Linked DNA regions of Mus musculus: all the other regions are reported to be linked to region 1. Evidence: microRNA targets listed by miRTarBase, many of them from high-throughput screens and not tested one by one. Region 1 holds a microRNA gene; each other region holds the end of a gene's coding sequence.

Evidence for each region. Region 1 holds the annotated microRNA mmu-miR-3961 (UGCCCUCAGCUCAGUUGGA, at 2,729-2,747, shown strand). A microRNA usually pairs through its seed, bases 2 to 8, with sites in the 3' UTR of a target mRNA and lowers its output. Matches are read on the target gene's strand: a 7mer-m8 pairs with bases 2 to 8, a 7mer-A1 pairs with bases 2 to 7 and ends in A, and an 8mer does both.
Region 2: the mRNA of Rmi2 is a reported target of mmu-miR-3961. Seed matches in the 3' UTR shown: 7mer-m8 at 1,524-1,530.
Region 3: miRTarBase lists Chrna1 as a target of mmu-miR-3961. Seed matches in the 3' UTR shown: 7mer-A1 at 2,285-2,291.
Region 4: the mRNA of Prpf31 is a reported target of mmu-miR-3961. Seed matches in the 3' UTR shown: 7mer-m8 at 2,237-2,243.

Annotation. Positions count from the first base shown.
Region 1 is chr13:82,696,957-82,701,024 of GRCm38, reverse strand. Mir3961 (microRNA 3961) reads left to right here and starts at 2,692; the gene lies at 2,692-2,750.
Region 2 is chr16:10,839,554-10,843,613 of GRCm38, reverse strand. It overlaps Rmi2 (RecQ mediated genome instability 2), which reads right to left. Exons shown (of 2, transcript NM_001162932.1): 2 at 379-3,785. The coding sequence ends at 3,637. Among named protein-coding and RNA genes, the nearest start is that of Rmi2, 6.5 kb to the right of the region's middle.
Region 3 is chr2:73,562,669-73,566,728 of GRCm38, reverse strand. Chrna1 (cholinergic receptor, nicotinic, alpha polypeptide 1 (muscle)) reads left to right here. Exons shown (of 9, transcript NM_007389.5): 8 at 1-27; 9 at 422-3,448. The coding sequence ends at 553. It overlaps Gm30940 (a long non-coding RNA gene), which reads right to left. Exons shown (of 2, transcript XR_866434.2): 2 at 1,351-1,529. Among named protein-coding and RNA genes, the nearest start is that of Gm30940, 3.5 kb to the right of the region's middle.
Region 4 is chr7:3,640,598-3,644,657 of GRCm38, reverse strand. It overlaps Prpf31 (pre-mRNA processing factor 31), which reads right to left. Exons shown (of 14, transcript NM_027328.4): 14 at 2,173-3,861. The coding sequence ends at 3,736. Gm15927 (a long non-coding RNA gene) reads left to right here and starts at 313. Exons shown (of 6, transcript XR_003946711.1): 1 at 313-405; 2 at 489-844; 3 at 1,383-1,484.

The DNA.
Region 1 (4,068 bases):
TACACTGTAGTTGTCTTCAGACACACCAGAAGAGGGAGTCAGATCTCGTTACGGGTGGTTGTGAGCCACCATGTGGTTGCTGGGATTTGAACTCCTGACCTTCAGAAGAGCAGTCGGGTGCTCTTACCCACTGAGCCATCTCACCAGCCCCGATTAAAGCTTTTAAAATTCTATTTTTTAGCCATTTCAAAGTATGGATTATTAACTATTGCTACAACATTATATGATAGAGTACTGTATCTACTATTAAACTGAACTTGTTCATTTTTAAAGCAATGTTCTGGAAAGTATTCCCTCTGGAATATTTTTATCCATAATACAAATAGTTATATACTATTGTGAAAATAATATTTGAAAAGTTTGTACTCCCAATACCTGCTGCTTTTCAATTAAATTATTTGTTTTAGTTAGTTTCTTGAATTTCTATGGTTAATACATATCTAAAATTGCTCGGTGTCATCACCAGATAAAGAAATAGCAATCAAAATTGTAATGAGGTATCACCCAACATCAATAACAATGCTAATTGTTTAAAAGAAGAGACAGTTGTTAGGCATGGAATTAAAATGAGCTTTTATTTATTGATAGTTGAATCATAATTAACATGTGAATTATGGAAAATATAAGGAGGTTACTTCAAGGCTAAACATAGATTGAACATATTATCAGTTGTCCTATTTCAAGATGCATTTGGGAAGAAATGAAATCAGCAAACTAAGGGATACTCTGACACGATCTGTGCAAGTGCCACTCTCACAGCACTCATGATATGAAGTTAGTCTAGGAACTAATCTTCAGTGGCTAGAAAAGAACAGTCAAGTATATATGCCCATAAAGATAAGTGGAATAATCTCATCTCCAGAAAAATAAATGGATCTGGATGATATTTTGTCAACAGATATAACAGAGATACAGAAATACAAACTGTATACAGTGTGAAATCTAAATACATTAACGAGATTATAAGAGTGATCACTTGGTTCTGAGAGGGATAGCATATCTAGAGATTGACAAAGAGCAATTGCATTTGAATCTTGAATACCTGTATGGAAAGCCACACTAAACAATTGTCTTTGCTATAAAGCAACTCAGCTATTTTTCTTTAAAGTCTTAACAGTTACATTGGTAAGTACTATGATAAAACTATGATAGCAATTTCTAACGTGATTTAAATACATCTTTAGGGATGCTAACAGTTTTTATGTAAATAGTGTGACAATATTTATTTGTGTTTTTATGAATGAATGTATGTATGTATGTATGTATGTATGTATGTATGTATGTATGTATTTTTCTAGAGATTGAGTCTAGGTTCTGATATATGTTGTACAAAGACCCTACCACTAAACTTCTCTGGCATTCTCAGAAGATATTTTTTAAGTATTAGTAGAGCTTTGTAAATGTTCAATTACTTTTTTTTGTGGTAGTCAGGTTCGATGATCATTGGACAATCTTAGAGATTATGAGTCAAATAAACAGCGATTATGAGGCACCCCTAATTTCTTTCAGTGTGTAGGATCCTGGGCAAGAATAGGAGTTGAATACTTCAAAGACTAGACATGTAAGACTGCAAACATCCTAAATAGTATATATTATCTGTGTAATAATTTTGATCTCTTCATTATCCAAATGAGTATGTTTTAATATTTAGAAGAATTATAAAACATGAGTACATAAGAATTTCACCAAATGATGAACATTCATGAAGACTCTAGTAGTACCTTCACCCCCAACTAGATAGTTCTGATCTGTTTTAGCATTGGATAACACTAGAGAAACTAAGCAGAAATATTTCTACTTTGCTTACCCATGTAAAACTGGTTCCTGTTGAAAATGTTTACAATTTTGTTCACCCTCACAGTCTACAGTATGGTCACAATTTTAACTCCTGGGTAGTTTCCATCTGACCAGCTACTTGATCAAATGGTTTAGACGATTGATTTTGATTACCTTCCCAAAGAACAATATAAGTATAATATACAAAGAAAAACATAGAATTCCATTTCCTTTGGTCCCTTAATATTGATAAACAGAATCCAAACTAACACCCTTTGACATTTTTTGTTTGTTTGTTTTTGTTTTTTTTTTCTCTTCTTTTGCATATACCTACTGTCCAAAGCATACGTGAAAGGAACCAACAGCCTTTAAATTCATATTGATATTCGCTTTTAATTAAGATGATAACTCCCTTCTGAGAATTGAAAAACATCTTGTTTTTAAAAGGGAAAACTGGTTTTCTTATAAGTGGAGATAGATGTCCCTTGCTGGGTTTTCATGATTTTTTGTGAATTTCTTTTCAGTTGCCACTCATATTTTCTTATACAAAAATCAAGAGAAGCAAATTGCTTATTTTCACTACCTGGAAAAATATTCAGAGAAAGTAGACTGCAAAATCCATTGTAACATTTATTAACAGTCAAGGTCTTCTGAGAACACAGAATAGCCTAGAGCTTTAATCTTTCAATTTTTTCTTTCTGTTCACAGAGTATTCAGCTAAATATTATTGAGTTGATGAATTAAATATTGTACACAAAATTATTAAAATGATAAAAATGATAAAATAGCTCAAGTTAGAAAGTTTCATGCTCACCATTCCTTCAGTCCTTTCCACCCTTTCAGTCTGGTCCTTTCTGCTGGGGCAGACTCCTAGTTGGCCTGCTCCCATGAAGATTCCATATCCCGATATATCCTAGAGGACCAAATGCACTCAGAGCAGTTGAGTATCAGCTGCCCTCAGCTCAGTTGGACAACAACTTGACTACTCCACCTAAAGACTCAACAGTCTGAAGGCCAACCAGGAGGTCTACTGCTGCCAGGCAATAGACCAGCAGTTTCTCTGCCTCTGTGAAGAGCTGCCAGTTGGACAGCCCCACAGGTGGTCTGATACAGCCAGGGCCACAAGCCTTCCAGGAGACCTGAAGCAACCCAGGGACAAAAGAGGTAGACTCCATACAGTCACCTAGATCAACAAATACCAGGGATAACCTGATGGCAAAAGGCAAGGACAAGACCATAAGCAACAGATGCCAAAATCCATGGGCATCATCAGAACCCAGTTCTCCTACCAGAGCAAAACCTGAATATACCAGCACGCCTGAAAATCAGGAATCTGTCCTAAAATCCTATCTCATGAACATAATAGAGTCATTTAAGGAGGATATCAATAACTCACTGAAAGAAATACAGGAAAACACAGGTAAATAGGTGAAGGAATTGAATAAAGCAATCCAAAACCTAAAAGTGTTAGTAGAAACGATAGAAAAATCACAAATGAAGGCAAATCTGGAAAAGGAAACCTAGGAAAGAGGTCAGGAATTACAAATGTAAGTATTACCAGCAGAATACAAGAGATAGAAGAAAGAATCTCAGGTACAGAAGATATGGTAGAAAAAACTGTCAAAGAAAATACAAAATATACAAACCTTCTAACCCAAAGCATCCAGGAAATTCAGGACACAATAAAAAGACCAAATCTAAGAATAATCAGAATAGAGGAGAATGAAGATTCCCAGCTCAAAAGATCTGAAAATGTCTTAAATAAAATAATAGAAGAAAACTTTTCCAACCTAAAGAAAGTGATGGACATAAAGATACAAGAAGCCTATAGAACACCAAGTAAATGAGACCAGAAAAGAAAATCTTCTCATCACATAATTATCAAAACACTAAATGCACAGAGTAAACAAAGAATATTAAAGGCTGCAAGGGAAAAAGGCCAAGTAACATACAAAGGTAGACCTATTAGAATTACACCAGACTTCTCAACAGAGACTATGAAAGCCAGAAGATCCTGGACAGATGTTACACAGACCATAAGAGAACACAAATGCCAGCCCAGGCTACTATACCCAGCAAAACTCTCAATCAACATAAATGGGGAAACAAAAATATTCCAGGACAAAACTAAATTCAAAGAGTATCTACCAATCCAGTCCTACAGAGAATTCTGTAAGGAAAACTCCAACACATGGAAGATATCTACACCAAAGAAAGGACAAACTATTAATCATTTCAGAACCAAGTAAAAAGCAGAGAGCCACAATCACATAAAATAACCTACCAAAACAA
Region 2 (4,060 bases), not on the chromosome of region 1:
AAGTGCAGGCAGGAGGAGCTGGGCTTCATGATCATGCATAACTGCACAGTGAGATTGAGGCTAGCCTGGAACATGAGATGATGCCTCAAAATTAATTAATTTGAGACCTAAGGTATAGCTAGCTCAGCTGTAGAGTCTGCCCAGCATGCAAGAGGCCCTGGGCTCTATCTCCAGGACTGAAAAATTGTGTGTGTGTGTGCATATGCATGTGTGTGTATACTGTGTGTACCTGTGTGTCTGTTTATTAAATTCCAGTGCAATCAAAAGCAACTGATCAACTGTCCCAGACAAGGGAGACCTTAAGGAGACACGACGGCCAAGTAGAATGTGGAATCCTGGGGAAAAATGAATAAAGAAACCAGAACAAACTATAAATTTGGTTACTAACTTTTCAGTATTTGTTCATTAGTTAATTTGTTAATTAATTTTAACATCCATGCCATACTAATGTAAGATATTCATGATAGGAACCTGGTATGTCTATAATTTAAGACATCCTGGGTTTGAGCCCCAATACTGCATAAACCAAGCTTAATGGCGCACACCTGTGATCTCAATACTCAGGAAGCTGAGGCAGGAGGATCAGGAGTTCCAGGACAAACTTGGCTACAGAGACCATGCAAATAAATAGGCAAATAAAAATATAAACAGCTGCACTATTTTGGCAAATTTTCTGAGGCTCAAACAACGTACATTGGAGCTGGAGAGATGGCTCAGCAATTAAGAGCACTTGCTGCTCTTCCAGAGGACCTGAGTTTGGTTCCCAGAACCCACACAGGGATGCTCAGACCTGCTGTAACCCCAGCTCAAGATTCCAAGGTCCTCTTTTAGACTCACACACACACAAATAAAAATAGACCTAAAAAATGAATGGTTCAGCAGTCAAACACAGATCACTTTTCAACTTGGCCTTCCTTTAAAAGAAAATGTTAGCACCTTTAACACAGCACTCAGGAGGCAGAAACTCATCTGCTCTACATAATGAGTTCCAGGAAAGCCCAAGTTCAAGGCCAGTCTGAACTAGAGACACTGCCTAAAAAGGTAGGGTGGGGAAGGCAGGGTGAGGAGGGGAGGGAAGGAAGAAGGGAAGGCCAGAGAGACTGACTACTGCTGGCTGGCTGGCTGGCTGGCTGGCTGGCTGGCAGGAAGGCAGTCATGCAGAAAGATGAATCAGCTGGTAGTCTTTACGTGGGATTGTAGGGCACCATCCTCCCAGCACAACAGACATCCATCAGTTTAAAGGTCAGAGGAGGCTAGCTGGTCGAGTGCTACTCTGGCGTGTGTGAGACCCTGGGGACCCCGTGGTCCAACCCCAGTGCCATTCATTACTACTGTTTTTTTTTTTTTTTTTTTAAGATTTATTTATTATATGTAAGTACACTGTAGCTGTCTTCAGACACACCAGAAGAGGGCGTCAGATCTTGTTACAGATGGTTTGTGAGCCACCATGTGGTTGCTGGGATTTGAACTCCGGACCTTTGGAAGAGCAGTCGGGTACTCTTACCCACTGAGCCATCTCACCAGCCCTCATTACTACTATTCTTAAACCCTATTTATTTATTTATTTATTTATTTGTTTTTCGAGACAGGGTTTCTCTGTGTAGCCCTGGCTGTCCTGGAACTCACTTTGTAGACCAGGCTGGCCTCGAACTCAGAAATCCGCCTGCTTCTGCCTCCCTGGGATTAAAGGCGTGCGCTACCACCACCTGGCTCTCTTTATTTTTTAGGACTTATTTTTTTTTAAGTATTTATTTGAAGTCTATATGCTAGGTTGTGAGGGTTTTCCAGGGGCCAGAAGGCGGCGTCAGATGCCTAGGAACTACAGGGAGTTACTGAAGCTGTGAGCTACCTGGCATGGGGCTGGTAAAGTTTATTTATCAACACTCTCTCTTGGGCTCCAAAGCACCCCACGAACACATAACTAAAGATAAAATCTTTTTTTTAAGGCGTCCATGTAAGCAGGCTGGAGGAGCAGGCCTGCAATCCCAGTTAACCAGAGGCAGGAAGATGGGAAATCTGAGGTTGGCCTGAGCTACAAACTGGGCTCAAGGCCTCGATGCTTTTTCTAGGGGGTGGAGGGCAGGAAGGAGGCAGGTCTAGATCACCTGAGTCCTCATCCTCTCTTGTCCCTCGATGTCCATCTCCTGCCAGGTGACTCCTTAGCTTTTCTGGTGACAAGTACCACCTGATGCTCATGGCAATCCAGGTGAGGCTGGGTGTGGGGGCCGAGTGTGGGGTGTGGGCCACACTCTGGAGGCTGCAGCAGGAGGCCTGCCACATCTGGCTAGCCTTGAAGACACAAGAGCTGGGGCTCTAGCTCATGTGTTTGCTTAACACATACACAGCCTCAGCTTCAGTGTGCTTATGGAAACACTTTCTGTTCATTCTTTCCAAAAACCTAAAACTGTTTTAATAAATCAACATTTTAGGCTGGAAATGTGGCTCAGTAATACAGTGTTTGCTTAGCTTGCAGGAAGCCCTGGGTTCCATCCCCAGCACTGCAGACACAGTAGTGCACACCCGTAATCTCAACGGGCTGGAGGGGAGGGAAGAGAGTCATGAGCTGGAGACTACCTGAGCTATATAAGACCCTGTCTTTAAGACAAACAGATAGTAGGGCTTACTTTTAAAAACTACACCACACAAAAAATGTTACTAGGGCCGGGTGTGGTGGCGCACGCCTTTAATCCCAGCACTGGGGAGGCAGAGGCAGGCGGATTTCTGAGTTCGAGGCCAGCCTGGTCTAAAAAGTGAATTCCAGGACAGCCAGGGCTATACAGAGAAACCCTGTCTCGAAAAACAACAAAAAACAAAACAAAAAAAGTGTTACTAGGAAGAGTCCTACAGCAAGACTGTAACATAAGATGGCCTGCTGGGTCTTTGCCATCCAAATAGGAATCTAGCCTGGGTTGTCAGCAGAAAGCCAAACCCAACACTGATACAACCCCAACAGAAAGGCGTTTCATACAGAAAGGAGGCCAGGACTCTAAGCCTACAGGCTGTTCCACCTTGGATGTCTCTCCACAACAGTTTTGAAGCAGAAGTGCTTGAAAAGTCTGTCTCCATCTTGGATTTTTAAGTTCAACAGAGAATTGTGAGAATTCCCACCATTCTCAACAGCTGGCCTCAGCTTCAGTATGAGCACAATGCATATGAGAGCAAGCTGTCAGCAAGGGGCTGGTACCTGTCCCTACAAGTTGGCAATAGCTGGTGATGGGAGGCAGGCCACTATGCCATTCTGTCCTCACATCTGTAATTTTAATCCATTGGCAACAAACTGAAATTCAGAGGTATGGTCAAGGAGAAAGTGTTATCATTCGAAGAACCAGGAAATGACAACATGAGCTTTCCACGAGCTTCAGCAAGAGAAAGGCACACTTTCGCGCGCGCGCACGCGCACACACACACACACACACACACACACACACACACACACACACACGTAAGTGACGGGGGGGGGGGGGGGCATATGCTTTGCAGCAGCAGCAGGAAGGCAGGGAGGAGTGGCTTAGACAACCGAGGATCCAGTTCCCAGGGTCCAGACGGCTGGCTCAACCAAAGCGAATCTCTTCAAGAAACTTTTGTGATGTTCCTGAGACCCATATGGGGGTAAACTGTTCTTAGAGGGTCCCAGCGCTAAGGAATATTCCTGTGTAAATCTTCCACCTCCAGTTCCCACATGCTTTCGTGGACAGGATTGTCAGAAAGATCCGTCATCTTCACGGCCTGCAGGCAGGGCTCAGGACTGCAGGCCTGAACCACCCCCATCACCATCACATACTTTCCTGGGAAGAGAAGAGAAGGATGGTGATGTTCATACTAACAAGGCAGGTGGGAAAAACCAACAGAGACCCCGACCTTGGGGCCTTTATCAGAGAAGGAAGGTCGAGACAGAAACCTTGTCTAGGGCTAGGGAGATGAAGCTTGTAGGCAAAGCTCAGGCCTGGTTGGTAAAAGGCTTGCCAAAGCTTGTGGACCTGAGTTCAGAGGCCCAGCATCCATGCAGAAAAAGCATGGCAGGGTGGCATGCATATGTATGTGATCAGTGTTAACGAAAGGA
Region 3 (4,060 bases), not on the chromosome of region 1:
ATGAAGTCAGACCAGGAGTCCAATAACGTAAGCTGTGTGGCTCCCAGTCCACACCTCCGGGTCTGTCTGTCTGTCTATCTATCTGCCTGCCTCTGCCTTCTGAGTGCTAAGACCAAAGGTTTGCGCCACAACCTCTAAGCTAACACACCTCTGGGTCTAAATGATTAAATGCATAAGTGTGACAGGGAGGTTGACCAATGAATTGGCTTCAAGCTCTAGTTACTAACTTCAGATGCACTGTGTTGACTATCTCTGGCAACTATAGTAAGTCATTTTGGCTTAATTATGCAAAAACTAAAGGTTGTAATATCAGGTGTTGAGGTTTGGAGGTTTACATATTGAAGGCCAGGCCAGTAGGGGGCGCTATGAGCCTGTGTCCCATCTCAGGGGATTCCTATCTAACGCCCTCTGCTTCCCCCAGGCCGCTGAGGAATGGAAGTATGTTGCCATGGTGATGGATCACATCCTCCTCGGAGTCTTTATGCTGGTGTGTCTCATCGGGACGCTGGCTGTGTTTGCAGGTCGGCTCATTGAGTTACATCAACAAGGATGAGCAGAGGCTGAGCTAAGCCTACCTCTGTCCCAGCCATAGCCATCGCTAGGAAAGATGGAAGAGAGGAAGGTCTGTCTCCTTGAATCCTTTCACACTTACCAAACATGCAGTGTTCTACATGTCCTACATGTTAATGAGAGTGATCTCTGCTCACACGGCTGTATTCTTGAAGTGTCTCCCCTTTGCTTCTGCTTTTAACACTATGGGCCTCCTTAAAGGGCGAACCCTTTGAAGTAAATAAAAGTGAGCCCTCAAAAGAAGTGTTTGCTTCTAAATGGCCCCTGGGAGAGTTTTGCTTGGATACTCAAGGTTTTCTGTTTGTATTGCCATGGCTAGTTGTTTTTGTTTTCTTTCCTTTAATAAATATAATTGTACTTATATGAGTGATCCGCCTACGTGTATGTCTCACATACACGCCTAGTGTCCATGAAGGTCAGAAGAAGGTATCCCATCTCCTAGAACTGGAACTACAAATGGTTGTGAGCGTCCACATGGAACCTGGGAATCAGGCCCTCTGGAAGAGCACCCAGTGTTCTTAACCACTGAACCACCCACCTATCGGGCTCAGTTAATTTTTATTTTTAAAGTGCTGAGAGTCCCTTACTTAAGACACACGGTTTCATACCTACTAGAAAAGTCGTGTCTACCAGATTCCCCAGATTTGATGTGGACACAAAGGAAGTGGTAGAAAGGAAATTAGGTAACTTTAAACTTAAAAAAAAATTGTGTGTGTGTGTGTGTGTGTGTGTGTGTGTGTGTGTACATACTCGCACACATTGATGAAATTGGGGGACAACTTTTAGGAGTTAGTTCTCATCTTTTATCTCATTTGAGGCAAAGTATCTTGTGATTTCTGCCGCTGTGTTACATTCTCATGTAAAGCTTCCTGGGGCATTTTCCTTTCTATACTTCTCGGCCCATGAACAGAGTGCAGGGATTCCAGATGCATGCCGCCATCTCCAGCTTTTCATAGGTCCTAGGATAGAATTTAGGTCGTTAGGTTTGTCCAGCAAAAAACTACTTTTACCTGCTTAATCCATTTCACTGGCCCAAAGGTAATTTTAGGGCGATCACATACAAATAGTATCAAAACCTCATGGTTTAAAGTAGACTTCTGAAACCAGGAGAGGGAGAATGCTTTCTTAAGTGATTTCTGTTTGAGAGGCCTTCTTGAAAGGGCGCTTGGGATTCCTTGGGATTGTACCTAGAGCTTTGCACACAGAGCTATAACTGAGCCTCAGCTCTCCCAACTTAACGGAGCCCCTGGATTTTGTTCTCAGGACCCGAGGAAGGGCAGATCCCATCCTCATCAAGGGTGTGCCTCTGACCCCATGAGAATCGTCTCGCCCGCATGGGTTTATTTTATCCAAATTGTTTTACACAGTCTCCATAATGTCCCTAATTTACAAATGGAAAAAAAAATTTTTGGGGAAAGTTAAACTCTGCTCCATCTAGAAGTAGAAGAACTGAGATCTGAACCCAGACAGAACTTAAGATTCTAAAACAGGGGCTGGAGAGATGGCTCTATGGTTAAGATCATTCCCAGCAACCACAGGGTGCATGGTGGCTCACAACCATCTACAGTGGGATCTGATGCCCTCTGCTGGTGTGCAGGTGTGCATATACAAAGCACTCACACATAAATACATAAACAAACAAACAAATATTTTTTAAAGATTTATTTATTTATTATATGTAAATACACTGTAGCTGTCTTCAGACACTCCAGAAGAGGGCATCAGATCTTGTTACAGATGGTTGTGAGCCACCATGTGGTTGCTGGGATTTGAACTCTGGACCTTCAGAAGAACAGTCGGGTGCTCTTACCCACTGAGCCATCTCACCAGCCCCAAATATTTTTTTTAAAAGTCAAAAAGAAAAGGGATTCTAAACCGACTTGCAGCTGATGGGGTCACCTGCTCCCTGCTCTCCCAGCATGCCTGGCGTGATCTAAGTAGTTCTGGTCTGTGTTGGTGGGGACTCTGTGATATCCTATTTCCTGCCTTCTCAATTAAAACCCCTGGCTTTTCCTTCAGTCCTTGGACGCAATCATGTTTGGAGTTCAGGCCCTATGAATGGAACCAGAAACGTATGCACACACCATCACCATTTCTGAAATCTGAAAAATAAATTCTCTGTGCCAAACTCTAGGCTCTAGTACAATTTACCCAGACCAAGAAGCCGTGTGGCTCTGGACGCAGAAAAGGCCTTTGAATCACAAACACATCTGATCCGTCATCTCCAGGGAGAGCTATAAACTGCATAACCAGGAGGCCAGTGCGAGCCCAGGTGGCTTCAATCTCCTGAGGGACTTCCCATCACCCCTGCACCAGTGCTGGGCTCTTTCATCTCAAATAGTTTGCACTTTAAAGTGGAAACAATTGGCAGTTTCTCAGAAAGTCACACTCGGGTCACCAAGTCACTCAGCAGTCCCATTCCCAGGTAGAGAGCCAAAGAAATCGAAAGAAAGACTTACACAATTTGTATGAGAACGCGCACAGAAGGCAAGAGCCAGAGAAAGCGGTCTAGGCTCCAACCCACAGACGACAAGCAAAAGGGATGTGGAGAATGGGTTTTGGGGTGTATGTGTGTAGGCCTGGGGGGCCATCGCCTTTTTGTTTTGTTGTTGTTTTTGAGATAGAGTTTCTCACTGGCCTGGAACTTGCCAAGTAGTTTAGGCTGGCTAGGCAGGCCATTCCGAGATCTGCCTGTCTCCTCTTTCTGCAAACAATTTAGTTGGCATGGGTTCTGGGGCTCTTACTCAGATCTAAAAACAAGCATTTTGTCAGTTGATCTAATTCTTTAGCTTTTTCTACTCACGACCACTTTTTGCTTGAGAAATGTTATGTAGAAATATAAAATATGTATAAAAATAAATAACAAAGAAATTTAATTAAAAAAATTCTCTGACATGCATAGCATTTTATCACCTATTAAGGATAAAAAATAAATTTGCTTTTGAGAGGGGTGTGTTTATTTTTTGTCTAACACAATCGCATCTAAAGATAAACAAATTTGATACTTACTTGCCTGGGACAATGGAAGGTAAATATCACAAGTCTCTGTTTTCAGTAATTAAACATAATATGCTCTAAGAGAGTAAGGTCACCGCAGTTCATGACATTCAATAGTATCAAATCTGAGCAGAGGTAAATCAGTGTGTTCACTGGTGTTGCATATCGTGATGGCGTGCACCGTGCAGTGTTCGTGTGTGTTCAGACCACAAGGCAACTCGTACAAACACTGCCACAGAAGATCTCAGAATCACGCTGTGTTTGATTTTTGAGCTAACTTTTGGTAATTGCACATCCGGAACCTGTTTCTGCTGCCCAGTTTTTCTGAAACCCCACACCTGGTCACATGACCATGTGGCCACAAGGTAAACTCCACTTACACAAGGTCCTTAGAAATACTCAGGTAGAAATGGAGAAGAGGCTGTGGGAGGCTGGGGCGGGGGGGTGTGGGGTGTGGAGGGGAAATTAGGAGTTATCGTTCATGGGAACAGAC
Region 4 (4,060 bases), not on the chromosome of region 1:
CGCCCCTTCCCTCGGTTAGCCAATAGGGTAGCTATTAACCTGCCGACAGGTGTGGTTGTCGGAGCATCCTTCCTTTGCCTGTCTAGGCTGTTATCTGATCCTCGTAGTTATTCCCCAAGCGCGTTTGCTTGGTATATCTCTAAAACTCAGTGCTTTCTAAAGGATGAAAGAAAGAAAGAAGGAATCAGGAACATTGCAGAAGCGACTGAGAAACACAAGGCGTGGGACTGACGTTTCTCTGGTTAAGTTAGCAGACTGGGACCTTCCCTGGAGTTGCAAGGACTCCAGCTGTAGAGGAAACTGCGCTTTGCCCTACCTCGGTTACATCTGTAATGACTACTCACTAGAGTTCTGCTATGCTTCTTAAGGAGTAAACTTCTCCGACCACCCTTGCCGAGTGCTTAGGTGAGCCTCTGGTTTAATTTTGTTTGATTCCTGCCGTTTTTACACATACTTGAGTCTCACTCTCTGGATTTCTCGTTGTTTAGTACCCATGAAGCACTCCATAGCCCTTTGCTGACTAGGTTGCAAACGTGAGCACCACGTTTTCATGAATTGGGGAAACTCGATCTATCTCTGCCTACTATGTGGAGGAAAAGAAGATAAATCCACACTTGAAGAGAACGTGCACGTGCATTTCACCGCATCAGAATGGCATGAAGCAAGAGAGAAAAAATGGCTTATAAAAAGGCATATTCTTCGGCTGGAAAGATGGCTCAGCAGTTAAGAACATTTTCCTGCAGAGGACCAGTTCCCACAGGGTGGCTTGCATGCTTGTAACTTCAGTTCCAGATCTGACTCTTTCAGCTGGCATCTGCTGGTGCACTTAAGCTCACACATTTATGTAATTTTTAGATGCATATTCTTAGGGTCACATAGACTTAAGAAGGTGAAACCTAGGGACCAGTGTTTGTCCAGATTTTTTAAACAGCTTCTACACTCTCTCGAGTTTGTTATTCATTCAGTTTTGCTATTTCATGCGGGCCCAAGAATGGGGAACTGCTTCTAGCTCTATCAGGAATCCCTGCCAAATTATTAAGATGCAGCTTCCTTCTTATCTAGGCGGTCCCCAATTCTGCTTTTTCTAACAAGCTCCCAGGATATACTAATGGCCTTAAAAACAGTTATGATTCTCGGGCTGAGCTGCACTTTAGAATCACCGGGGGAGTTGGTGGAGGTAGAATCCAGATACTTAAGACTTATGCTAGAACAATTACATCAACAGCTAGAGTTGGAAACTAGTTATTCTTTCCCTGAAATGATCCATGGAAATTCCTGTTTTTCTTTCCAGTAGAGAGATTTGAAACCAAGGCTTAACATGCTAGGGAGGAAGACTACTATTGAGCTATTTCCAGTCGATTCTTGCCTCTCCTTTTTGACAGATTTCACATAGGACAGGCTGGATTGGACCTAGAGCTTTGCAGCAGAGAATGACCTTGAACTTCAAGTCTTCCTGCTTCCATTTCTCAAGTACTGGATTTCAGGTATGTGCTTACCACCATGTGGCTGCTTCTTCGACCTTTTAAGGAACTGGAAGTCACTGTGTAGACTAGGTTCGCCAGAGAACTCACAGAAATCTGGTCTCTGCCTGGTAACGCTGGGAGTGAGTGAGTGCCACCACACCGCAAAGCCCTTTTAAAATGTTTGAGACATGGCCTTGACACTGCTAGGCAGGCACCCCGGTTTGAACTGTATTGCTGGCCCTTTAAAAACTTTGATTGTGTACGTATAGGTGTTTAGCTTATGCGTGTCTACACCACATGTGCACCTGGTGCCCAAGGAGATAAGAAAAGGATGTCATTCTCTGGGGCTAGAGCTATAGACCATTGTAGGCTGACGTGGGTGCTGGGAATCAAACCCAGGTCCTCTTGAGGAGCAGCCATCTCTTTAGTCAACTCCCCCTAACATTTTGTGTGTGTATATGCATATGAATGTGTGCATATGCATATGAATGTACTGTGTGCAGGTGCACATGCATGTGCTTATGAAGGCCAAGTCAATCTCAGCAGCTCATTTTTTGTTGTTGCTGTTTTTGAGGTTGTTTTGCTTTGTTTTAGATAGGCCACTCATCAGGACCATACATACCTGTGTCCACCTTGTCAGCATTGGAATGGCAAATACATGCTACCAACTCCTTGCCTTTATATGGGTGCCAAGTATTGAACTCATGGTTTTATGCTGTTGTTTTGGCTTTATTTTGGTTTTGGGGTTTTTCAAGACAGGGTTTCTCTGTGTAGCCCTCAATGTCCTGGAACTTACTCTGTACACCAGGCTGTCTTTAGACTCAGAGATCTGCCTGCTTCTGCCTTCCAAGGTTCCCATGTTTTTATGAAATACACTTTACCAACAGTGCTATCTTGCCAGATCTCCCTAGCTTGCTTGCTTGCTTTCTTCCTTCCTTTCTTTTTTGGACACTGGCTTTTTCCTACAGCCTAGGCTGACCTTGAACTCAACTGTGTAGCCTAAGTACTTCCAACCCTTCTGCCTCAAAAGTCTCCTGAGTAAGTAGGATTACAGGCTTAAATACACATTTTTTGAGCTCTATCTTAGCAAAAGTGAAATCAAACTTTACGACCAGCAACCATATCTTAGTGAGTCCTCAAGACATTCTGCAGCATCTTGAATTCCGAGACTCACATCTTCATACTTCACTCCACTCAACACTGGCAAAGTCAGAATGAAGTCAGGCCAGGGACAGAGTAGGGGTTCTAAGGGAAGTGACAGACAAAGGGCTTTCCCCAACAGACCCACGGGGGACTACGATTAAGATACAGTATGTAGAGAGGAATAGAGACCAGGAAGCCCAAGATAGAAAGCCCTAACCTCACCAGCTACATCTACATTTAGACCAACAGAGCTAACCTTAAGCAGAGAAAATGGAGCCCAGCAGCTACTCTCCCTCAGAGAACGACAGACTCATAACAAACCAGACACAGTTCGCACTGTTCAACGTTCTCCCTTGAAGCCCCGGCTCGCAAGTCAGACTGGGTGGTGTGCACTTCTTTTGCTTGCCTGGCATTGGTCCCTCCCACAGGACACCCGCCTGCCTCACCCTTGCTGAGGACCTAGGCTTGGACCCCTCATCAAACATGAATTAAAACAATAGGCTCCACCATGAATGCAGAACTGGGTGGGTGCTTTCTGTACACACTTTCCAAGGCTTTTACGTGCTTCATTTTGTGTGGATGTTTCTTGGACCAAGGTGTCTAGCCTGAGGGACAACAACCCTGTGGGTCTTGTTGGGTCCTGGAGTTTTGTGGTGGCCATGATGCTGATGTTCTCATGGGGCAGGTGATGGTGTTAGAGATAGACAGGGTTTTTCTTAGATTCCAGGATAAGAGCAGAAGAGAGCTGGGTCCATGCTGCTCACACTGGAAGCCCCACAGCTCTGAGTCCTTTGGTTCTTTCATAATCACTCACACCCTCTGTTCAGAGCCCGACACTACACATTTAATTGTACTCGTTCTATAAAAGCACTGCCTTTCCCCCTGTAAGTAAAAAAGCTGAGTGTGAGGAAGACCTTTCTGCCCGTTTAGGGAAGCAGCAGCATGGATGCTGGGGGAGGCAGGCTAAGGTTCTTCATCCTTTTTCTTGGATGCTATGGCCTTGGGCCAAAGGCAAAGCATGGAAGGCTGCCTCCACCACACCACAACTTCCTGGCTGGATATCTGTCACTTCAGAAGCTCCAGTCCTTTATGTCCTTTCAGTGGATGGTCACCTGGAGTGCGGGCTCCTTCAGGTAGACATGGTGCCACTTTTCTCACCCTTGACCTTGAGGAACTCGGCCATGCTAGAGAAATACTTCTGGTTGGCCTCTGCCACCTTCTTCTCGGCTGCTTGTGGGTTCACAATCTCTAGACCCTGGGTTGGAAAGGAAGAGGGTGACAGGTGAAGTTGGGAAGCTCAGGCCTCCCTCTAGATGAGAACCAGACATGTCAGAGTCTCCCAGACACTCTTGTGGACATGGAACCATTTACAGTCCCTGAAGTCTCCCTCAGTTTGGGAGATTTTTGACACAGTGGGTGTTGGGGTAGGTCTTAGATGTCAGGACTGTTAATCT